Mus musculus: one gene and its partners. The protein of the gene in region 6 purifies or fractionates together with the protein of the main gene of each other region. This does not show direct contact. Links are inferred from orthologs where the notes say so. Each region holds a gene or a part of one and is shown on either strand. Other genes may lie near its edges.

Region 1 (3,500 bases), on a different chromosome or scaffold from region 6:
AAGACAGCCGAAGTACATACTAAGAAATATACTTAATCATCTTTTATATTTCAAAATTTAAGCAAGCTCAAAATGCTTCTTTGCAATTGCTGTTGAGCTGTAACAGACCCAGCTGATAGTCACTGACACAAACACAATACCTGGATGCTTGCAGCGAACTTTTCCAGTGTATTTCTCATGTCTCGTTCACTGTGCCGTAACTTAACTACTGCTTCTTCATGTTGTACTTTCTGTTCTTGGATTTGCATTGCTTGTTTAGAATGCCTTTCCAACTGGGATTCCATCTTATTTACCTTCAAAGAATAAAAGAAATACAATTTTCTCCAAGTGTCACAAAGCCCTTAAATTTCTTGTATTATTAATACTGTGGTGTGTGTAGCCACATGCATGCCTTGGCATACATAAGAAATGTCAGAGGACAGCCTGTAGGAATTGGTTCTTCTATGGACTGAACTCAGGTAGTAAGGCTTGGCAGGAAGGGCTTCTACCCACCCTCTCAACAATCTTGCCCGCCCTCCAGAGTTCAAGGTTAGCTTATGAAATGAAAAACCCTGGGGTTGATGCAGCAGTTAAGAGCACTTCTGAGTACCAGAGTTTGATTCCTGGCCATTATATAGTGGCTCACAACCTTCCAGTTCCAGGGATCCAATACCCTCTTCTGGTCTCCTGGGATACTAAGCATGCATATGGTATGGACATAATATCCATTAACATAAAAAAAAAAAAAGGAAAACCTCCCAGCTTCAAACATAAAGACAAAACTAAGAGCTACAAGTAGTAGCATATGTGGATTTCCAGCGAGAGGGCTAGGAGGTGACGGCTATTTGGACCATGCTAACCTCTTCTACAGAGATTTCATCGATAACCGAAGAGCCCATCCTTCCTCTCATCACCTTGCTTCCACCGCCACTCATTGTACCTGGGAACATATGACAAGTCAGTTTTGTATGCTTTACCCAAGATTAAAACAAAAACGAAAAACCAAAGCCAACCAGTAGGGGAGGAAGAACCCGACTCACCTGACTGTTCTATGATCTGTCCCTGCAGAGTCACTACTCTCCAGCGTCTGTCTCTTTGGTACGCTACTCTTGTAGCTTGATCCAAATTGTTAGCCACCAAGGTATCTCGTAAAGCAAAGTAAAAGGCTTGGCGGATTTCCTCATTTTTCACTTTAACTAGATCAAATAACCGAGGAGTATTTTCAGGAGTTTGAATTTTGCTCATTTTTTTGGCCCACACTGTCATCTAAAAGTTATAAAATTGTGCACATAATAAGCAATGTTTCCTAGGTATTATAACCCTAAATAAAATTTTTGTTTTTGAGACAGGGTTTCCCTAGCTGTCGGCTCCAATTCAGAGATCCAGCTGCCTCTGCCTCCTGAGATTAAAGGCATGTGCCACCATCACCCAGCTCCTAAATAAAATCTTACCATGGTATTAAATTCCTCCCATTTTAATTTTATATCTATATAGTATCAACACACAACTTAACATTAAGTTAAAACCTCGAAATGCATTGGACATCTAAACGTAAGAGTGGAAATCCCTAAAACTCAGAAACATCCAGCACTCACAGCCCTCACAGCCACTCGGAAAGCAGAGAGGAGGATTGCTCCAAGTTCAAAGTTAGTGTGGTACAGACACCAAGTTTTAGTTACCCAAGGACACATTAGCATCCCTGTCTAAACACACACACTCATCTTCTACCCAAGAAGCTAAAGAAAATTACTGTGAAGTAGATCTTTTGTGCTTCAAAATACATAATCAAGAAAGTCACAATTGTTAAGTTTAAATTAAAACATATTTTAAAAGATGCACCTGACAAGAGCCTTAAAATCTAAAGGGTTTTTAACAATCCAATAAAACAAATGAAAAATGGCAAAGGTTTCCCCAAGAAAGATGAACGATCAATAAGCACAAAGAATGTTTAATATCAGTTATTAGGGAAATGTAAATGAAAGTAGTTAGCTATCACCTTACATCTATGAAGATGTACTGCAATAAAATACACCATATGATCCAGTAATCAACTCCATTCCTAGGTATGCACTTACATTTACACAACATTTTTTGCATCAGTCTTTGCTATAGCACTATTGTCAAGGCAATCAAGAAGTATGAACAGACCAGAACAAAGACAAATGAAGGATAGGTACATGTCAATGTTTGTAGCTGAGGGTGGGTAAAAGTGTGGGCAGTGCCTACGGAGTGATAAAAATAGTCTGGAATTAGATAACAGCCATTCATCAGCAAATTTGTAGATATAGTGAAAATAATTGAGTTCTACTTTAAAATACAATTACACAACATCTCCATAAAGGTTCTATGAAGAAACAGCTTAGTGATAGAAGTCAGAAACATAGAGCCAGGTGGTGGCAGCACACACCTATACTCTCAGGGCAATGGGGAGGAGTTCCAGGCCACCCTGGTCTGCAGAGCAAAGTCCAGGACAGCCAATCTATACAAGGAAATCCTGCCTTGAACCTCCTGTCCCCACCCTCAAACAGAAACATACTAACAATCATCCATCCACTGGACAACACCATAACAACTGGAAGTTTTTAGTCAAGGCATTACAAACTTTACCCTTTAACCTCCCAAAACATGTACACACAACCTAAATTAAAAAAAAAAAAAAAAAAAAAAAAAAAAAAAAAGGGGCCAATAGTGGTGAAGAAAAATTAGAAATTTTAAGGGAAAAATATATGGCACCTCAAAGTTAAATTATAGGAAGTTTATTATGAATACTTACCTTATCCAAACCTATGAAAGTTGCAATCCCAATATTATGCTTTTTAAGGAAGTTTACACATTCTTGGGCTGTATCAATAGAATCAACAACAATGTAGTCCAATGCATGGCAACAGGATGAAATAGCAATGTCATATTTTTCATCAATAGCTCCTAAGTCTCCCTAATAATGAAAAGGAGTAAACAACTAAATAGATCATTTCATTACTATTCAGATTTGACCATTCTTCCCTACCGCATTGGGTTTCTGTAGCCGAAGACTGACCAGACCCCTTGTACAGTGGTACATGTCCCCAAGACTTTGAATGCTATTTTTACTCTTAATGGAAGACTAATAAGTACACTTGGTTTAAAGAAGTATAAAAGGGGAATGACCTACAAGGTTCCCTTCTTATGCCAACTATTCTTCCCTCTCTATAGGAGAACCAACGGACACTAATGTGTGCTAAGCAAGCATTCTACCACTGAGCTATATCCCATGCCCTACAATTTCTATTGTAATCTACCCTTTAGTGTTTATGAATATGCAATGTGAATTTGTACTGGGCACAGGATTGATATAAGAACTGATTTATTTCATGAAATATATAATGTGGATATAAGACCTAAAAGAATGTATAAGCTAAACAATTCTCTTAACTTAGTCAAAGTTGCATAAAATTATGTAAGTAGCTATGAAGCAATCTATTAACAGCAAATACTCAGGATCATTTCTTTAAGAAAATAAGGTAGGAGCCATCTAATATCAG
Region 2 (4,142 bases), on a different chromosome or scaffold from region 6:
CTCTCCTGGTCATGTGGAAATAATATGAAATCAATCTTTAGAAGTCAGGTTAAATCTCACTACTTACTCTCACAAATTGAAAAATATTTCTTCATCAAAAGCAAAATCATTGTACTTACCCAAATATTTAATTAGTCCTTTCAAATCTGAAAGATACTCTATATCAGGAATAAAAAAGCTGTGGACTTTAGTCATATGAGCCACATTCTTCACGAGGGAGCTTGAATGATGGGAGCAAAACAAGCAGTCTGTTATTGGGATGGCACCTAGGGGTGGGCTCTCCTCAGCCGCTGCATCTTCTGCATCCTGATCCTCCACTCCAGGGTCCTCACATTCCAATCCATCATCGGAATCAATATCTTCCCAATCTTTAAGCCAAAGTTTTGAAAAATAAATTTACTTTTAAAGGTGTGATAAAGCAAGCACAATCAGAGATCAAATACCCCCAGACAAGTTTAAATGATAAAAACCTCTTTAATCTTTCTTTTCCAGCAGGAAGCTCTATAAAATAGTTGCTAACCTCTTTCCTATGCATTACTGCACCTAGCCCAGTACTGGACACCAAGTTAATTGGATTCCTATCTGGTTCAGTAGCTGTCTACCATTTGCACTTCACAGGAATACTTTAGTGTATATTTTGGTGTGTGCAGGGCTGCTATATGAATGCTTCTGTTTATATGTGTCCATGCAAGTTCAACTTAGTCACCAATGTAACACATGGGACCTCTAGGAACCTCATGAGTGAGTTGATGTCCTAAGAAAAGGACTTAAATGAACTGGCAAGTCTCCTTTTTTGTGTTTTGCTCCCCCTCCATGAGTACACACCCTAGATCTGCCTTTTCCATCATTAAGTAAGGCTTAGAAAAATACCCCTCCACAGAGCAAGCCCTCACTAAACAGTCAGGGTGCCAGTAGCTTCATTTTTTACTTCATCTTCCATGACTGTGGCAAAATAAGTTCATGTTGTTTATAAATTACCAGGCTTAAGATGCTTGGTTACAGAAGTATAAACCGACCAAGACATGAACACAAACACTGTCAGTATCAACAGTGCCGTGGGGGTGAATAAAGAACTCACAAAGTAAGGAACCTTGGGGCTGGCTGGAGCCCCACAAGTCAGGCTTGCAGGCAACACGAAACCCTCACTCAGTTTTAGTCAACTAAGTGAAATGTAAAATCCTAAGCCATTCTAACCACACATTCTACAGCAGCGTGCCAACAGCATAGCTTTCTGTGCACCAGTGTAACCCTTCCTGATCCAAACTAAAAGAATGTTTTGCCCGTTAAGAATGCGCCTCTACTCTTTTATTCTGTTTTTAATCAATGCCCTAGGTCCTGGATCCACCACAGAGACGCAGACAGACAAAGTGCCCTGTGGAAATGAAGAGCAGTGAGGCATTTAAACCACTTCTGCCCTCACTCTAAAATGTCCTATAGAAATCCCCAAATACTGTTCCCTTTCGGGTCCACACGAAGTTTGGTGCGTCCGGGAGCAAGCATAAGAATGGAGGTCTACAGCCCGGCAGTGGTGGCACTCGCCTTTAACCCCAGCACTTGGGAGGCAGAGGCAGGGGGATTTCTAAAGTTTAAGGCCAGCCTGGTCTACAGAGTGAGTTCCAGGACAGCCAGGGCTACACAGAGAAACCCTGTCTCGAAAAACCAAAAAAACACCAAAAAAGTATGGAGGCCTACAATCCATCTGCTTAACTAGTTAAAAGTCATAAACCAGGAAACATCTTTAAATCCAGGCGGGATGCCCTGGGCCTGGAACCCCACTCCCTCAAAGGCTGCGGTAAAAGGATAAGAAGAAAGTCAGGGTCCAGCCTGGGAATGGATGTCGCAAAGGTAAACACTGAAGAAGGCTCGGGCTGGGGGCCTCAGGGGAGGGCGACATCGCTGAACGTGGACCCAGCCCTTCGTCTCCATCGCGATGTCTCCCGGAGCCTCCCGCTCGCCCCAACCCCGACAGGACCCTTACCTACCTTCGTCTTCGTCGTCTTCCTCCTCTTCCTCTCCCTCCTCCTCTCCGTCCTCCCACTGCTGCTTCGCCAGCTTCTTCGCCTGCTGTTCGAACCACTGGAGCCGGGGCGGCTTCTCCGTCGGGTCTCGCTCCGGGACGCCCCGTGCGCCCGCCGCCGCCCTCCCGCACTCGTCCGTGGGCACGAAGGGCGCTTTCTTGGGGGACGTGGAGGGCTGGGCCTTGATGGCCTGCTGGATGGCGGCGTTCACGGCGTCCTTGTCGACGCCGTCCGCGCCCAGCCCCTTCTCCAGGTTCTTGGCGTTCAGCAGCTCCACGCGCCGGCTCGCGGCCCGCACCGCCTTCCGCTCCAGCTCGGCGTGCCGCCGGGAGCCGAGGTGGTTCTCGTAGGCGTTGAAGGTGGCGAACTTCTTGCCGCACGCCGTGCAGTAGGTGGCCGCGCCCTTGCTCGCCTCCGCCGCCTCGGCCACCGCGCGCTGCGCCCGCACCCGCTCCTGGAAGCCCTCGGCCGTCACCGGGGCCATGGCGGCCACCTTGCGCCGCAGGTTGTAGCGGTGCCAGTCCGTCTTGTAGTGCGCCCGCTGCAGCTCCGCGTCGCGGAACGCCACCCGGCAGGTGATGCACGTGAGAGCCGCCATCCCCGGGCCCGGAAGACAGAGACGACCCAGCCGAGAACCTTCTAAGCCTGACCGGCCGCCTTCTAGTCCCACAAACGCAGAGAACCTCCTTCGCCCACAGCCAGGAAAAGACACACCAGACACCAGCTTCCGGGCTCTAAGTGAGGGAACTTCCGAGTTCTAAGTGAGGGAACTTCCGACTCGCACAGGAAACTCTTGGCAGCTGGCTTAAGAAGGCCCGCCTGGGTCCCCGGAAATGACGAAGTTTCATGTCGCTCTCTTCGCGCCTGGATCCGCCCTGTCAATCAAAGGTGGGCGTGTGCCTGGAGGATGCCGCTGCCTCCTGAGGGCTTAGCGGTTGTGTCGCTTGCCGTGACGAGGTCAGAGGGATGGGCTTGTGAGGGAAAGAAGGGCGTGGGTGCCTGGGATGGTTCTGGGACTGCTCTTGAGAGATGGATCCCGTCAAGACTGTCTCTCGCGCCTCTGGAAAGGGGGATCAAACGTGGCGACAGCGTGGAACTTCCGGAGGCCAAACCGACCCAAGCTCTTTGCAGCGAAGGGGGCGGTCAGAGCTCTTGAACAGAAAAGATTCCCTGCTGGGAGCCGAAAGTACAGCCTAGCCACTGTCCCACAAAATATAATCCGAGCCACATGTGAGATTTTTAAATCCAAGTAGCCATATAAAAAGTCAAAGTAGAGACTATGCCCGGGCCTAACAAACACAGAAGTGGATGCTCACAGTCAGCTATTGGATGGATCACAGGGCCCCCAGTGGAGGAGCTAGAGAAAGTAACCTTATAGGTGGAACAACAATATGAACTAACCATTACCCCCAGAGCTCGTGTCTCTAGCTGCATATGTATCAGAAGATGGCCTAGTTGGCCATCAGTGGAAAGAGAGGCCCATTGGACTTGCAAACTTTATATGCCCCAGTACAGGGGAACGCCAGGACCAAAAAGTGGGAGTGGATGGGTAGGGGAGTGGGTGGGGGACCGTGTGGGGGACTTTTGGGATAGCATTGGAAATGTAAATGAAATAAATACCTAATAAAAACAAACAAACAAAAAAGTCAAACTAGGTGAAGTTGCTTTTAATGATCGAAATACTCTTTCAGCATCTAAAACTTTAAAAGGATCTATCTGTGATTTTACGCTCCATCGTGGGTACTAAACCTTGGAGACCCTGTGTGTATAACAGCAGCAATTCATATCAGTTCGATTTTTTTTTTCTTGAGACAGGGTTTCTCTGTGTAGCCCTGGCTGTCCTGGAACTCACTCTGTAGACCAGGCTGGCCTCGACCTTCAGAAATCCACCTGCCTCTGCCTCCCAAGTGCTTGGATTAAAGGCGTATGCCACCACTGCCTGGCAAATCCTCTGTTCTATCCCTGCCTTTAACTCACCCTGATTCAATGTCAATTGTTCTAACAGGTTAAGCAAGTATATTTTTGGTATTGTGTTAGAAATCCGTTGCTATGCTATTCTGCCTGAATATCTTTCTGCCAGCTTGCTCCCTTTTGTAAACCTTTGCCCAAATGCCTTTGGGGGGG
Region 3 (3,500 bases), on a different chromosome or scaffold from region 6:
CAATGCTATCCCAAAAGTCCGCCATACCCCCCCCCCTAAATACATTCCTAAACTCACAGTTTTTAAAAACCTTTTCCAAATAGTTTTCTGTCACTCATCTCCCTGGTCTTCCTTCTCTTTCTTGAACCCAGGACCTCATACAAACTAGGAAAGCAGCCTGTGACAGCACAGTCTCCCTTTTCTCACTCATGTTCACGTTCTTGAATACCCACTATAAGCCTGTAGGCCACCACTGTCATCGTCCTCCCTTCCCTTGACTTTTTATTCAAGGCATCTTCAAACACACATCACTTTCTATACTTAGAGTTTACAGACCATCTCCCTTAAAGCTCCACTAAGGCAGGCAGTATTTATGCACTGCTCTGACACCAGCATAAAGAGCATGGGCTGATATTTTATTATGTATTTGACAAATGAATGAAGTAGACTTGGCTTCTACGTTCTCACTCTGAGAACTCTAAATGTTCACTATTAGTCTCCTATGAGCTCCTAAAAGCACATCACAGAGAATGAGCTTAAGGTCAAACAGAGCTTCATGGTGAAGATCACTAAAGAGCTCCATCTCCCAAAAGTAAGAGATGAGAATGAGAAAAGCTTCCGGTAGGTGGCTCTGAAAACTCTGCTTCTCTTTGTTTTCCTATTACCACTTATAAGAGACAAAGCTAAGGAAGAATCACTTTGAAATCTACAAACTTTCAACTAAATCCCAGGAGCGAGAAGAAGAAATGGTCCTTACCTGCTGCAAAGAGGTTAAGGTTGGGATGGGCAGCCAGGACCCAGAAGCGATCATGATCCCTACGGAAAGTCTGAACCCCAGTCCTAGAAAACCAAAAGGTACAGAAGAAACCGTTAATCAAGGCTCTTCAGTACAGCATGCACAAGGAAAGTGAGTAGCAGGCCTGGAAGATGACTTTACAAGTGCACTGGAGACAGGGAATGCTGTGCACTCAGCTAAGGATCAGGACCACACCCACAAGGAACACAGTGGGAGGGAAGGCTTCACACTAACCCAGGCCTAGGCAGGCCAGTTTCTCCCTTGTCTCTCCTAATGTACTTTTAGTTCACATTTCTACCTCTTTAGCTGAACAATGAAGGGAAGAAAAAAATATACTCAAATTTAGAGGAGAAAAAGAATACAGGGAGATTTGTACCTAAAAAATATTGTTGCTATTTTAGTCTCTAAGGGTTTTTGCTGTTGCTTGCTTATTTATTTATTTACTGCTTTACAGCAGTGTGGATTACATTTATGGCCTCATGCATGACAGGCAAGCACTTTAACCACTAAGCAATACAGCCTTAGAACTTCAGAACACAGGACTTGGTTTTTCATCATGCTGAAGAGAAAAAGAAGTATTCTAATTTTTTCCTTTCCTTTTACAGATATTAATATTGCATAAGGAGTGTGTGTGTGTGTGTATGTGTGTGTGCGCGCACGCACGCGCGAAGACAAAGGATAAGACAAAGAAAGGGTCCTTCTCTTGGGTTTGGTCACATGACATAAATAATTCCCTTACCGCTTAGACATATCCCAGACTCGAATACTCTTGTCTTCAGAATTGCTGAGGATCAACTCTTGGCGAGGGTGAAAAACAGCACAAGACACATTGTTGTAATGGCCCCGGCAGGTGTCAACCTCCCATGCCTTTGATTCTGAAGAACAAAAGGAATTGTTATCACAATTCTCTGTAATAACTCTGGGATCTATAAATCCAACACCCATTCTTTAAAAAAAAAAAAAAGATTTTAGTTGTGTTTTTAGTTTTGTGTGTATTTATCTGTATGTGGTTTTTTGCATCTGAGTGTAGTATCTGTGGAGGCCAGAAGGCAGCCCTTGGGCCCCTGGAGCTGAAGTAACAGATGTCTGTGAGCTGCCTGACATAGGTGCTAGGAACCAAACTCAGCCCTCTGTGGGTCCACTGAGCCATCTCTAGCCCCAGCTTTTTGAGGAGACAAGGTTTTGCTATATGGCTCAGGACGGCCTTGTGCTTGTGATCCTCCTGCCTCAGCCATGCATGCTGATACTGCAAGACTATACCATCATGTACATGCATGCTGATACTGCAAGGCTATACCATCATGTACATGCATGCTGACACTACAAGGCTATACCGTCATGTTGACACTGCAAGGCTATACTGTCATGTATATGCATGCTGACACTGCAAGGCTATACTGTCATGTACATGCATGCTGACACTGCAAGGCTATACCGTCATGCTGATACTGCAAGGCTGTACTGTCATGTACATGCATGCTGACTCTGCAAGGCTATATCGTCATGCTGATAGACATTGCAAAGCTATACTGTCATGGACAGCTGTGATGATGCTCTTTAAATGCAAGTGCTAAGTACTATTGCAAAATGCTAAATCAATTTTCCCCAAATGGGACAATGTTTTTCATGTAAGTTTCTTCCTCTTTATTTTATGTTTATTTTTTTTAGTTACTTGAACCTTTTTTTGCGGGGGGGGGGGGGTGTCAAGACAAGGTTTTGCTGTTGCTCAGGCTACCTTTGACCTCCTAGGAATTGTACTACCTCAGCCTCTTTTTTTTTTTTAGGAAATCTTTTTTTTTTAAATTAATTAATTTATTTATTATATGTAAAGTACACTGTAGCTGTCTTCAGACAGCACCAGAAGAGGGCATCGGATCTCATTACGGGTGGTTGTGAGCCACCATGTGGTTGCTGGGATTTGAACTTCCGACCTTCGGAAGAGCAGTCGGGTGCTCTTACCCACTGAGCCATCTCACCAGCCCCTACCTCAGCCTCTTGAGTAGCCACAGCTACCTCAGCTCCAAAATTCCTGTTTTTCTGTACATCTCTGTTCTTTTATTATGTACCTCTACTGACTGTAACAGCTATATTAAATAATTCTTTATGCTTCTACTCTTATTTTATCCACATAGTATATGTATTACTTGCTGATTCTGAGAACAAATATAAACTCTATATCATGGAAATTTTGAGTCACAATAATATAAATATGGCCCTAAACACAGTCTAAAACAAAGCAGCTACTCACAATTTGTCACATGAACTTTTACTCTTGACTATGCTCATATCTCTCAAAATCAAGATACTGCCATGAGGGGTGTGGAGGGGAGGAAGAGACAATGATCATGCACTTAGGAATAGCAGTAAATAATCAACTAAGGCCTAAGGCAGAAAAATAGGCCAAAGTCCAGAAAACCTGGCTACTTCCCCTTGCTGGCTGGCTGCCACTTTCTTGGCTATGGCAACATCGCCAGTACCTTACTCACCATTCATACGCCAGATCTTCACTTGCCGGTCATCTGCCCCAGATACAATAAGGGGCATAGTCGGGTGGAAGGCAGCCCAGTTGACTCCACGGTCATGACCCTGTTAAAAAGAGAAAAAGTGGGTCTTCTACAACAGCTGTAAAAACACAATTCAAAGAAAACCATGCTAGTGTTTATAACAAAATGTGTCTGTTTCTTTTTCTGTGATACGGGCAATCAAAGTCAGGGCCTTACAGGTG
Region 4 (3,500 bases), on a different chromosome or scaffold from region 6:
TACTCATGGGGCTACATCCAAAAGGGTAAATCAATGGGGAGTGGAAGGTAGCTATGGTTCCACATCAAGTTTAACCTTATAAACCACTCAAGTATTTCTAAACAAAAGTGAACACCAAAGTAAGCAGCCCATAGAAATAGTTTAAATAAAATCCAAACACCTGCTGAGCACTGGGGGCGCACGCCTTTAATCCCAGCTCTTGGGAGGTAAAGGCAGGGATTTCTCAGTTCGAGGCCAGCCTGGTCTACAGAGTGAGTTTCAGGACAGCCAGGGCTACACAGAGAAACCCTGTCTCAGAAATAAATAAATAAATAAATAAATAAATAAATAAATAAATAAATCAAACACCTAATCTACTAATGGGAGGGGAGACTTAAAATCAAATGAACACCTTCAGATGGGAGGATTCTGTGAGTTCAAGGCCAGTCTAGTCTATATAATGAGTTCCAGGACAACCAAGGTGAAAGCCCCTGTCTCAAATAAAACAAAACAGAATTAACAGCTTTTATGATTTATAGCACAAATTATTAACTCATTAAGCTAGTAGATGGAGAAAAACTTCCTCTTACATGTCTCTGTCCTTTAACATTTCTACACAAACAGCCAGGCCCAACATTATGTTTATGAAAGAACTAAAAACACAATACCCATAAGTCATAATCTGAACTATGGATTCGAATTAGCTGTCTGTGAAATCAGTTCTACCAAGTGTATAAATATTTACGACATGACATTCATATTAAGTTAACATCAGCATTTTCAAGGTCAATAAATATTATGTTCGTTCAACTTCTTGGAGTCACACATTTTTATGATATTTTTAACTTCTGACTAAAGCCTCTATCATCACAAGATGCTCACACTGTTTACAAACATTCAGAAACAGCAGCTGGTGTTGCTCTGTCACATCTTGTTACAATAAATAAGAGAAACAATTTCAAACTCCAAGTATATACTTTCTCACAGATGTGTTAACAGTCTCTTTAACTTAAAAAGCATGTTCACAAGTAAATGTGGACACTTTGGTACAAGGCAGACAAGGTCACAGATACAGAACTTTATGCATGCATACATGAACTATCACACCAAATAAGTCAAATGCGAAGTAATACTGATCTTCCTCTTATTTTCAAGCCATTTCAATGCCTTTTCCCATCTTATTCAAAATAAGGCCAAAAAAGCCCAAACGTATGAACAAAAAACCCAAAACACACAAATAAACAAAAACCCAGAAACTTACCCACACAGGCATTGAGGAATAGCCAATCAGTCTTTTTCATCCTATTTTTAATCTGCTTTAGTTTTTTAAAGTCCACTTCAAGTTCCTCCTTGGTACCAACAGCACCAGCCAATTCGATCCTCTGAAAATCCATCTTCACTTCCGAGTCCCGTTTTGTAGTTGGAGGTGATCTTCTTTGGCTATTACCACTACTGCAGCCTCCCCTCCATCGAGCTCTGTCTTGCTCATTAATTATTGAAGAAGCCTCTTCAGTCTCTGCCAACTCTATTGCTTCAATGTTATTAGGTCTGGGATGGTCACAAACAACACATTTTTTAGCCTTAGCCCAGTTTTCATATGTGCAAACAGAACAAGTCCAATGCTGGGTCCTTGTATTCAATTTATTTCTATCATTGTATTCTTCACAAGGATCAACAGAAAAAGCAACTGGTCTTGAACCAGATCCTGAGGATTGAGGAGATTCTGTGGGACTCCTGGTCCTACGCTGGGATAAGCACTGGGTACATCTGATTGCTCTTGGCCAGTTCAAATATGTACACATGTGGCATGACCATTTATTTGCATTTTCCATGCTGTATGAAGACTTAACCCTTGGTCTTGCACTAGAGTCTGGACATATCAAAGGACTACTTCCACCTTCAGTACTGGAAGGATCCCAATCTCTACCAACATCACTTGAACCACTTTTAAATGGATCTTCTGTAATAATTGTTCCACTGGGTCTCTGGGCACGACACATAGTACACTTGATTGCAGACGGCCAGTTTTCATACGTACAATATTCACAGGCCCACTTAATCCCATGTTCTGACATTGTGTACTTCTTGAAGTGAGTTATGTCAGGCAGGAAGCTATAAATAATTAGGACATTGTTATTAAAATAATAGCTACATAATTCCATCTCTGAAAATATGCCCCCGAAATAAAAAATACCCTTCAACTTAGAAAATATATATTTCTTAAAAGACACATGTAAATTTCTTATTGGATTATTCTACTTTTGTTTGGAGATTTCCAAAAATAGTAAAGATAAATTTCCAAAAAGAGCTCTTAGACTTCAGGGTTTAATAAAAGTTTACTTTGGACTGCTGAAGTGATAAAAGGAGATGAATGCAGAGTCTTTCTACAGGGAAAGAAGATAAAAATAGGTGAGTCACTAATAGAAATTACTTAATTTCAGCTCAGCTGTCACCATTAGTTTAGGAAAAGTTAAAAAGACTTGCAGGCAAGAGAAAAAACACAAACCAAATAGAACCTTAAATAACCACTCACAAATTGCAAACAATGTAGACTGTGCTATTTGTAGTATGTCTAATCCGTGATTTCAGAAGCTCAAAGTCTTTCCTAATTATCCTTGCTAAGGGAGGAAAATAGCTTGAAAGTGCTAGTTATTCACTGCTTTGAATTAGCACAGACAGAAAATATGCTGATGAGCTCTAATCACAATTAACAAAATAACTTTATAAACTAGAAATGATTCTGATATTCTGTATTCTCAAAATATAATTATATTTGGAACATTAAAAGTTCTACGTTACTTATACTCTCAAGAAATTCAAATGGACAGATTTCTCTAAGAAAACTATTAGCATAAGCATGCCAATCTATTTCTAAATGTTCATATTTGATATCTGAAAAATTAACATACACTAAAATGTTTACTTTATATTAAAAATATACTTGCTATCTAAGAAGTCCTAGAAGTGGGAGGGCTGGAACATGCCTGTAATCCTAGCACCCAGGAGGCTGAAGCAGGAGGATCTTGAGATTGAAGCTAGCTTGGGCTACGTATTGAGAAACAAATAAGTCAGTCAACATTCCCAGGACTCTAACCGTGGATTTACTAACACTACACAATAATGAAGACTTTACTATTTAATGACAACTAATTCATAAGTGAAGCAGTTTATATGGCAAACTTAATGATATTTTAATGACTTAAATTAGAACACTAAACAACCTCTCAATTTTTCAATCTGTTCTAAACTTAGTACTTCCCTATGACCTATTTTAACAAGGAAAAGAGAAAAGGTTCCTAGGCAGAGTGATAGGTATTTCTCCTTCCTAAACCTGGAAAGCCAAATCACTTTATAAGTGTATTTATTCTGTTCCTGTCTATTAAATCTACACCCCACATACACAGTGACGTTTGCTAAGAGGACAACTTCACCATAGAAAGGATACTGTTGGATAGCTAAAATTTAAAAAAAAAAAAATTCACACTTACTAAGATTTTAGTTTCCATGCTATAACCTCCACC
Region 5 (4,049 bases), on a different chromosome or scaffold from region 6:
ACACACAGTCTAGGAGTCTAGGATGGCCTGCGACCCTGCTAAGAATGAGAATGCTTTTGAGCACAGGGAGAAAGAAGGCCAGCGATCCCAGCATTCCAGAGACCAAAGCTGGAGGATCATGAATTCAAGGCCTGACTGGGTGACATAGTCATACCTTGTCTTGAGCCCAACAATAGCTAGATTTTGTTTCCAGGACCATAAACATCACCCTAACACTGCATACAATATTTCAAAGAACAGAGAAACTCCTAGAAACCTACATGTGAATTGTGAATCAACAGTTAAGTCCACAGAAATAGCCATGAAAATGCAGAATCTGTATTGAGATGAGCAGAGATGGCTGACAGAGGAAACCCAAACTATCAAAGAGAAGGCTAAACAGGAAGATCTCTGTAGGTGGGAGTGAGAGCAAGGCTGGCAGGCATCTCCCTGCCTTTCCTCTGGGCAGCGGGCAATCGTAAGTGCTGTTAGAACCGACAGTAACATTCCAGAGTTCATTTTTATTTTAAGACAGGTTCTCATGCATTCCAAGCTGACGTCTTCTAACAGAGGATGGTGCTGACCATCTGATCACCTGGCCTCTACTCCAGAGTGCTAGAATTACAGCCTAGTTTATGTGGTGCTGAGGACTGAACTAAAGTGCTTCTGGTTAGGCCACCTGTAAAGGGTGGGACCTGCTCAGAAGGGGCCAGATGGACAGATGGACTGTGTCGCGTCCTCTCCTCTACAATGCTTACCAGATTCCCCCAGAGACAGCTGTGGTGAGGCCGACTGGAGATGCCCTTTAGTGGTAGGCAAAGAGTCCACGGTCCCTGCCTTCTCTTCTATTTATTTAGCTCAAGACACAGTGGATTATGGGTCATCTCTCAAACACATCTTTTCTTTCTTTGACACTATGCCTAGCACATCTGTAAGGTACTCAAAACAAGTTAAGAGTTTTTTTTTTCTTTCCTCTCTAGTTCTATCATAGATCACTGACACTGCTACTTAGCAAAAAAAAAAAAAAAAAAAAAAAAAAAAAAAAAAATCAAATGTAGAGACACCCCTCCCCAGAACAGCTCCTTCCATTTCTGCCATGTATTGATCTATATTTGCTCTCTAAAACACCTAATATAGTAGTGTATGCATATCAAAGTAAGCATAGATTTCTCCTTAAATGGAGTATACTAAAAGTTTTGTGACCTCAGTTTTGTTAATAGACACCCCTTAGGAAATTACAGATTACTATTAATATTACAAATTAATTGGATCACTCACAACTAGAATCGCAAATATTAATACCACCTATATATACAGACCATGGTTCAGGCATTACACTATTCTGTTATCAGACAATACCATAATTCTGTGGGTCCAGGCACACAGAATTATTAATCCTAGGAGATCCTCCTCCAACCCCTGTCTACAAAGCAGTGTGTTTAGACACAAAATGTACTAAGCTGTCTTACAAGCCTAATGGCAGCTGCCACAGGCTCAAACACTGCCTTACACTTTCCTATGAGGCTGGGCAAGAATGTAGAGGGACCTTGGCCCTCTGGGTCCAAAGCCTGGCCTGCCCAGGATGGATCACAGTTTATTCTCCTTATGAGCTCAAAGTACTGGATACCCAGCTGGCATTGAAAAAGGCCTGGTCTCAGAAGTGCCTGCTTGCCCTCGAGCCTAGAAAGGCATTAGGCAGGTGGAAATTGCCCATGATCTGACTGGCGCCTGCAGGCCTGGATCAAGTTCAGATTGCTTCATTCACCTTCATTCAGACCACTGTACCGAGCCAAATCACTCCCTAGCATAGTGAAGTCTGCCTTTGTGGGAGAGCTAACTTCTACATGCTTCCCCCAGAAGTCCTCCTGCACCTGTAAGTCTTCTAACTGCAATGATACACAGCGTGGGCTGCTACCAGTACTACTGGGTCTGAGACCCTCTGAATGATGGCGTACAGTCAAAAAGATGTTTACCACCTATAGCGATGACCTTGAGACCCATTTTCCTTTCTGTGACATAAAAGCATTAGTCCAATCATGTCATTTCAGATCTCATAACCAGTAAAATCAAATCAAACGGTAGTAATGAACTGTTGAGAAAATGAGAAAAAAATACAAACTATGTGTCACTATATAATTTCCTAAGAACACTATTTGGGAGAGAGAACGAGCACTAGGAAAGAGGTAATACCAGAACAAGTGTAGCCATCCCACAGAAGCACCCCCACCCCCACCCCAACACAGGCAGTCTTAGATCCCGAATCCGCTTTTTCACTCTGGACAAGGGTCCAGTCCAGCTGAGCCCCACTTGCCCTGACGTGGGACAGCCTGGGGATGTCCCCTAATGACTGTGAACCCAAGCATCAACTTCCAACGCAAGCAAGTCTAAACGCCAGAAACACACGTCAGGCCTGCTAAGCCGCTCTGCGGCCTCAGCCGAGCCCTAGGACCCCGAGTCCCCTCCCGCAGCTTCCTTGCTGCCCCTCTCCAGAACCCGTTTCTCCGGCCCTGACCGGCCGCTGTCCTGGCTGGTCCTGCCCGCGGCCCTGCCGGGAGACCCTGGCCCGGCTACGACCGCCCAAGGTCGGCGGGGGAGGCCGCGGGTCGTGGACAGGCACCTGGCGGGACAGAGTCAGCCGGGGTCCGGCCGAGGCCAAGGGGGCGCCGGGTGGTGGACACGCACAGTTCCGCCCGCCCCTCGCCCAACAGGCGCCCCCCGCACACCCGGAGCGCCTCACTCACCCCGGCGACGCCATGAGCGCAGCGGCCTGGGCGCTCCCGCCTCCTCCGCTGCTTGCGCGGCTGCCGCCGGGCGCCGGGGAGGGGCCTGTAGGCCGCCCCCGCCCGCTCCGTTAGGGCGTCGGGCGCCGTGGGCTGAGCTCAGTGGAGGGCAGGCGGGCGCCTGGGGCGAGGGAGAGGACGCCCTGGGCCCAGAGCACTACCTACGGCAGCCACCGGCCAGGCCGGCCCGCTGCCCGGAGGCTGGAACTCACCTGCGGAGCCAGACCTGCCCTGGGGCCACTGACAGCTGCCAGACTGCTGGACACCACCCTCTAGTCCCCGCATTCTGATGTTAATTTCTGTAAGAAACGCACTTTCCTCTACCTCTGGGGTGTACAGTGTTGCTGTTCTAAAGGAAAACAACATCTCTCCTGCTACTAGTTCGCAGCGGGGTGGAGTAATGTTGGCCTCTGAGCTGGTTTCCCACTTTTTTTTTAAGTGTGTATATTAAGCCTTATCTTGTATTACATAGAAATAAAAAGTTTAGAACTTGTGCAGTGGGGTTTCCCAGAATCACCTACAAGCTATGAATATTTAGGCATGTAAAATTTTGAGGCTTGGTTCCAGCCCCTGCTAAATTAGTTTCAAAGACAAATTATATCTTTTAAGAGAAAATACCTAATTTAAAGAAACAAACTCTGGACTATGCAGTGCAAACCACTGCTGGTGGCATTTTTGTGTTATCACATTAAGTTGTTTTTTCAATTTATTTTTTTCATACAGTGCATTTTCCTTTCTGTGACATAAAAGCATTAGTCCAATCATGTCATTTCAGAACTCATAACCAGTAAAATCAAATCAAACGGTAGTAATGAACTGTTGAGAAAATGAGAAAAAAAATACAAACTATGTGTCACTATAATTTCCCTTCCCAGCTCCTCCCCACCTTCCTACCTTCAAGTTCTTTTTCTTTATTTTCATTGAGACAGGTTCTCTGTTTAACACTGTCCTGCCAAGAGCTTGCTGTGTAGACCAGGATGGCCTTGAATTCATGGAGTTCCACCTGCCTGCTTTTTCTCCAGAGTGCTGAGATTAAAAGTGTGCACCACCATGCGGGGCAGGGCCCAACATTGAGATAGTATTCTCTTCACCACTAAGAATATTAAACACCGGGCTGGAGAGATGGCTCAGTGGTTGAGAGCACTGAATGCTCTTCCAGAGGTCCTGAGTTCAAATCCCAGCAACCACATGGTGGCGCCCAACCATCGGTAATGAGATCTGACGCCCTCTCCTGGAGTGTCTGAAGACAGCTACAGTGTATTTACAGATAATAAAATAAATAAATCTTAA
Region 6 (4,198 bases):
ATAAAAGGTTTTAGTGACTTATTGGAATTCACAACTCAGATGAACTCAGAGAAATGTTTATTCCTTTACTGAACCAGAATCACACAAGAGGAAAATCATGGCCTAAGTGCCGAGCTAGTAGAGTAATGCCTTTCATATTTTTATGCAAACTTTCTAGTATCATCTCTGATACAACTGTTTAAAACTCTCCAAATTTGGGTAGTGAGATGGCTCAGCTGGTAAAAGTACTTACCACGAAGCCTGAGAACCTGAGTTTAATCCTGGAACCCACATGCTAAAATGAGAGATCAACTCCCAAAAAGTTGTCCTCTGACTTCCACATGCACACCATAGCATACACGAAAGTACACACACACACACACACACACACACACAACTTCAAAGCTTCTGTACTTCAAAAAGTATTGGAAATATCCAAATGAAATGTATTAACCGAAGTTATTTTAACAAAAGCAATGACACATGAAAACCAAAGAAACAGGTAGTTCTGACCTTATTCTCCAAGTCATATAATACAAAAACAGCTTTAAAGAAGATAAACATTTATAATCTTTTTAATTTATGAGATGGTTCATAACTGACTCAACCAAGCTATGGTTAGTATTCCTAATCCACACTCATTGAACAAATATGTATTTACATAATCACGATTATCATTACTAGGGTTCCATGAACCACAGACAACTGCAGAAATGTCTAAAGGGGTATTTTAAAGTTCCCTAGCAAAGTTTTCACACAAACTGAAGTCAGCAAATAGCTGGAAACAGATGTCAGCACAGTGGGCGCAGAGGAAGGTGATGCAGGAATGCACTTACGTTTCAAAACAGCGATCCACATTGTCAGACATCAAAAGCAGCATGCATAGCTGCTCCAGGGCTATTAGCTGCATGTCCCTTTCATCTCCCTGTCCCATCTGCAGCCATTCCAGCAACGTATCAGGATCTACATCTGCCATTGTCTTTAAAATGCTCCTTTGCCTAAATTGAAAAAGGGAAACGGGTTTTTCAAACATTTGTTCAGAACTGATCAGCCTGTGTAAAGACTTTTTTCTTGTACATCTGCTTGAACCAAGTTTCTGTAAGGTCCTCAGGTCCTCAAGAGACACACACACACACACACATGCATGTGTATATGTATATACATACAGAGCTATTCTCCAATTTCCATATTGCACTGTGATATGCACACGCACACATACTTGCACACACACAAAATAAGCAAATATATATGCTTTAAAAAAAAAAACTTTCCAGCCGGGCATGGTGGCACACTCCTTTAATCCCAGCGCTAGGGAGGCAGAGGCAGGCAGATTTCTGAGTTCAAGGCCAGCCTGGTCTACAAAGCTGATTTCCAGTACAGCCAGGGCTATACAGAGAAACTCTGTCTTGAAAAAACAAAAACAAAACAACAAAAAAAAACTTTCCAAACTGCAAAGTATTACTTCAAAAAGTATGCTACATATGCAGCAGTCTACTTCCTGGGCTTAATGCAAAAACCCTCAAGGCAAAACAGTTTAACACTGGAATGAATATATGCTGATTAGGTTGCTAGTTAACTAGAAACCAGAGCTGTCTTGGTCAAACACTATGAAACAAGTTTTGGATCCCAGTACTGTTATCACCAATGTCTGTGCCAAAAGGCAAAAAACATGTACAAAAAAGTTCTTTTACCAGTCAACTTCTTCCTGCAACCTCCCCCCAAACTCCACCAAAAATCGGAGCTTCAGATACGGGTCAGATCCAGTAGTTTTAAAGACCACTTTCCAATCCAATTCTTCTTCGGATTGAATTTCCCTTCTCACGAGTTTTGAATTCTCAAACTTACTCCTAAAATATGCCCAAATACAAACAGTAATTAGATATGAAATCTACCTATGCGGAAGTAAATACTGATAAGAACTTCTGGTAATCTAGGCAAATGTTCTTAAAACTTTTTTTTTTTTGGGGGGGGGGCTTGATGCTAAAGTAAATACAACTAACAGGTTACCACCCCCCCCCAGGCAGACGGACAGACAGGCAGACATTCTTTCTCCCATAGGATGGGGCAGTTAGTTTTTATGTAAAAAATTTTTTGAGAAGTAGTCTAGGCAGGCAAGTCATTACAAAAGCTTCTAGATGCCCGACCAAAGGACAGCGTTGCGTCCCACGCAATCCACCTGCCGGTGTGGGAACCTAGAGGCGGGTCGCGGTGGGCACCCATCGGCCGCGCCCGGCGGGGCTGCCCCATCGTCCTCGGCCTGATCAAGGCCGGAGCCGCGACGCTGACAGCCAACCTGGCTAAGTTAGCTACCTGCCTCCGGGCGGAGGGCGAAGTTCTAGAGAAGCAGCAAACCTGCGAGCTCAAGAGGAAGCCGCCGAGCGGCTGGGGTGCGGGTCTCCCGGAACTCGGAGGCCCAGCGGGACGTCCCCGGTCCCCGCCGGGCGGCTGAGCCTTACCAAGGACAAGGAGCGCGTAGCCGGAGCTCCGAAGCCAACAAGCCAAGCCCCGTAAGGCCCGGAGAGGGGAACAAAGGGCCCGATACGCAGAGGCGACGGCGGAAGACCGACCTCACCGCGCTGGGGTCCAGCTCCGCGCCCGCCGCTGGACTCGGCGGCCCGGATCCTCGCGCAGGCCCAGCCTGCCGACAGCGCCTAGCGCCCCCGCCTACCCTGACCGCAGGCTCTTACCCTGGCTCGCCGTACCAAACAGCTCCGGTCCAGCTCCAAGCAGGCCGCGGGCAGAGCCTGGCCCGGCCGCGGCCCTCGAGTTCCTAGGAAACCGCAGGCCGCGCAGGTCGAGCCAGGCAGGCGGCACAGGAAAAGCCGTGTCTCGTCCCTCCCCTTCCTCCGCGGGGACCCGGTGACAAGGAAGCGAGAGGCTCCCCCGAGCGGCGGCAGCCAGCGCGGGTCCCGACCCCAGCACGCGGCTCCTCAGACCCTGCGGTTCAGAGCCAGGTCCGCGCGGGGCCGTCGGCGGCAGCGGGGAGACGCCGCGTCCATCGCCAGCCGGGCGGGGGCAGGAGAAGGGTCGGCCGAGCGCCGGGCGGGGAGGCTGGTGAAGGCCGCGCCGGCGGAGGCGGAGCGAACGCCTCCCGGCCGCCCTGCCCGCGGCCACCTGGGGCGCTGCGGAGGCCGGACCCCGCGGCACGGGGCGACGACGGGGGGCGCCGGGCTCCTTCGGCGGTCGGCTACGGCTCTCCTCAGCCCGGCCTCCCGGCGCCCGAGTCGCCGCGCTGTCAATCCGCGCGCGCCGCCAGCAGCTGCTCCGCGCACGCTCCGCCCGTCTCGCCCGGCGCGAGCCGCTCCGGAGTCCTGCGGAACGGAGGCCACCGTCTCGCAGGCGCTCGGCGTGCCCGGGTCACCCCCTCCTCCGGACTTTTAAAGCCAGCGGTTTACCAGAACGCTTCCCAGCGAGCCTGGGAACTCGGCGAGCGCTGCGCAGCCGGGCGTTATCGCCTCGGCGCAGATGGGACCAGGACGGCTGCGGGAACTCGTGCCTCCTGCCTGCCCACCGTGGAGTCCCGGGAAGCAGCCAGCATCGAGGACTTCCCACACAGTTGCCTTCGGCTCGTGGTCACTTGTACTTCCGTAGTTATTCCCGTCAAACTTTTATTTCATGGGCGTTGAAAAATCAAATACTAGCCGCTGCTAGTGGAGTCCTCACGTAACCGTGACACTAGAGAACTGGAGGCTGGAGTTCAAGGTCATCCTTGGCTACAAAATGAGGTCGAGACTTGTCTGGGCTACAGGGCGGCGACGGTGGTGATGAAGAAGGAGCAGCCAAGGGAGAGAAAAAGAGGAAGAAAAAGACTCCATACTGAACTCATCCTTTGAACAACAACAACAAAATAGCAGTAGATACCTAATTTTAGGAAAGAACTGTATGCAAAGACCGAGGCTAGTAGTTTTCAACCCTGGCGGCACATTAGAGACACCCGGAAAAGTTTTCATTAGAAGAGTTTTAGATCCACAGCAAATTGAACAGAAAGTACAGAGAATAAGTTATGGCTACCCTGTTCTGTATCATGTGTTCCTGGCCAGGTAGGGCTAAGGACAGAGAGTTCCCACTGATCTCTTTGTTTATGGTTTTGCCCTTTCCAAAATATCGTTTCTAGTTGGAATTATTCACTAACACTCTTTAAGGATCCTCTGTGAGTTTTTATAGCTTGGTAGCTCATTTATTTGGTGTTGTGTTGTGTTTTGTTTTGTTTTGTTGTACT

Evidence for each region.
Region 1: the proteins of Hectd1 (region 6) and Smc4 purify together in Homo sapiens (affinity purification with western blotting; 3 studies listed by BioGRID, with this or other methods). This does not show direct contact. The link is inferred for Mus musculus from reciprocal best matches to the Homo sapiens genes HECTD1 and SMC4.
Region 2: the proteins of Hectd1 (region 6) and Zfp622 purify together in Homo sapiens (affinity purification with mass spectrometry; 4 studies listed by BioGRID, with this or other methods). This does not show direct contact. The link is inferred for Mus musculus from reciprocal best matches to the Homo sapiens genes HECTD1 and ZNF622.
Region 3: the proteins of Hectd1 (region 6) and Copa purify together in Homo sapiens (affinity purification with mass spectrometry, with the first as the bait; 3 studies listed by BioGRID). This does not show direct contact. The link is inferred for Mus musculus from reciprocal best matches to the Homo sapiens genes HECTD1 and COPA.
Region 4: the proteins of Hectd1 (region 6) and Zranb1 purify together in Homo sapiens (affinity purification with mass spectrometry; 5 studies listed by BioGRID and IntAct, with this or other methods). This does not show direct contact. The link is inferred for Mus musculus from reciprocal best matches to the Homo sapiens genes HECTD1 and ZRANB1.
Region 5: the proteins of Hectd1 (region 6) and Urgcp purify together in Homo sapiens (affinity purification with mass spectrometry; 4 studies listed by BioGRID and IntAct, with this or other methods). This does not show direct contact. The link is inferred for Mus musculus from reciprocal best matches to the Homo sapiens genes HECTD1 and URGCP.

The regions. Positions count from the first base shown.
Region 1 is NC_000069.6:69,025,238-69,028,737, reverse strand, and holds part of Smc4 (structural maintenance of chromosomes protein 4), read right to left. Parts: intron 2,915-3,500; coding exon 2,753-2,914; intron 1,246-2,752; coding exon 1,020-1,245; intron 920-1,019; coding exon 840-919; intron 294-839; coding exon 141-293; intron 1-140. UniProt on the Homo sapiens protein: Central component of the condensin complex, a complex required for conversion of interphase chromatin into mitotic-like condense chromosomes.
Region 2 is NC_000081.6:25,983,024-25,987,165, reverse strand, and holds the start of Zfp622 (zinc finger protein 622), read right to left. Parts: upstream 2,801-4,142; 5' UTR 2,617-2,800; coding exon 1,983-2,616; intron 369-1,982; coding exon 120-368; intron 6-119; coding exon 1-5. UniProt on the Homo sapiens protein: Pre-60S-associated cytoplasmic factor involved in the cytoplasmic maturation of the 60S subunit.
Region 3 is NC_000067.6:172,099,529-172,103,028, reverse strand, and holds part of Copa (coatomer subunit alpha), read right to left. Parts: intron 3,362-3,500; coding exon 3,262-3,361; intron 1,651-3,261; coding exon 1,515-1,650; intron 820-1,514; coding exon 737-819; intron 1-736. UniProt on the Homo sapiens protein: The coatomer is a cytosolic protein complex that binds to dilysine motifs and reversibly associates with Golgi non-clathrin-coated vesicles, which further mediate biosynthetic protein transport from the ER, via the Golgi up to the trans Golgi network.
Region 4 is NC_000073.6:132,948,176-132,951,675, reverse strand, and holds part of Zranb1 (ubiquitin thioesterase Zranb1), read right to left. Parts: coding exon of another isoform or gene 3,468-3,500; intron 2,092-3,467; coding exon of another isoform or gene 2,055-2,091; coding exon 1,241-2,054; intron 1-1,240. UniProt on the Homo sapiens protein: Ubiquitin thioesterase, which specifically hydrolyzes 'Lys-29'-linked and 'Lys-33'-linked diubiquitin. Also cleaves 'Lys-63'-linked chains, but with 40-fold less efficiency compared to 'Lys-29'-linked ones.
Region 5 is NC_000077.6:5,738,377-5,742,425, forward strand, and holds the start of Urgcp (up-regulator of cell proliferation), read right to left. Parts: upstream 2,801-4,049; 5' UTR 2,735-2,800; coding exon 2,721-2,734; intron 1-2,720. UniProt on the Homo sapiens protein: May be involved in cell cycle progression through the regulation of cyclin D1 expression. May participate in the development of hepatocellular carcinoma (HCC) by promoting hepatocellular growth and survival.
Region 6 is NC_000078.6:51,826,537-51,830,734, forward strand, and holds the start of Hectd1 (E3 ubiquitin-protein ligase HECTD1), read right to left. Parts: upstream 2,754-4,198; 5' UTR 2,694-2,753; coding exon of another isoform or gene 2,319-2,693; intron 1,733-2,318; coding exon of another isoform or gene 1,649-1,732; intron 978-1,648; 5' UTR 956-977; coding exon 816-955; intron 1-815. Other genes in the region: uncharacterized protein Gm5785, read left to right, coding at 1,649-1,732, 2,319-2,693, 2,754-3,605. UniProt on the Homo sapiens protein: E3 ubiquitin-protein ligase which accepts ubiquitin from an E2 ubiquitin-conjugating enzyme in the form of a thioester and then directly transfers the ubiquitin to targeted substrates.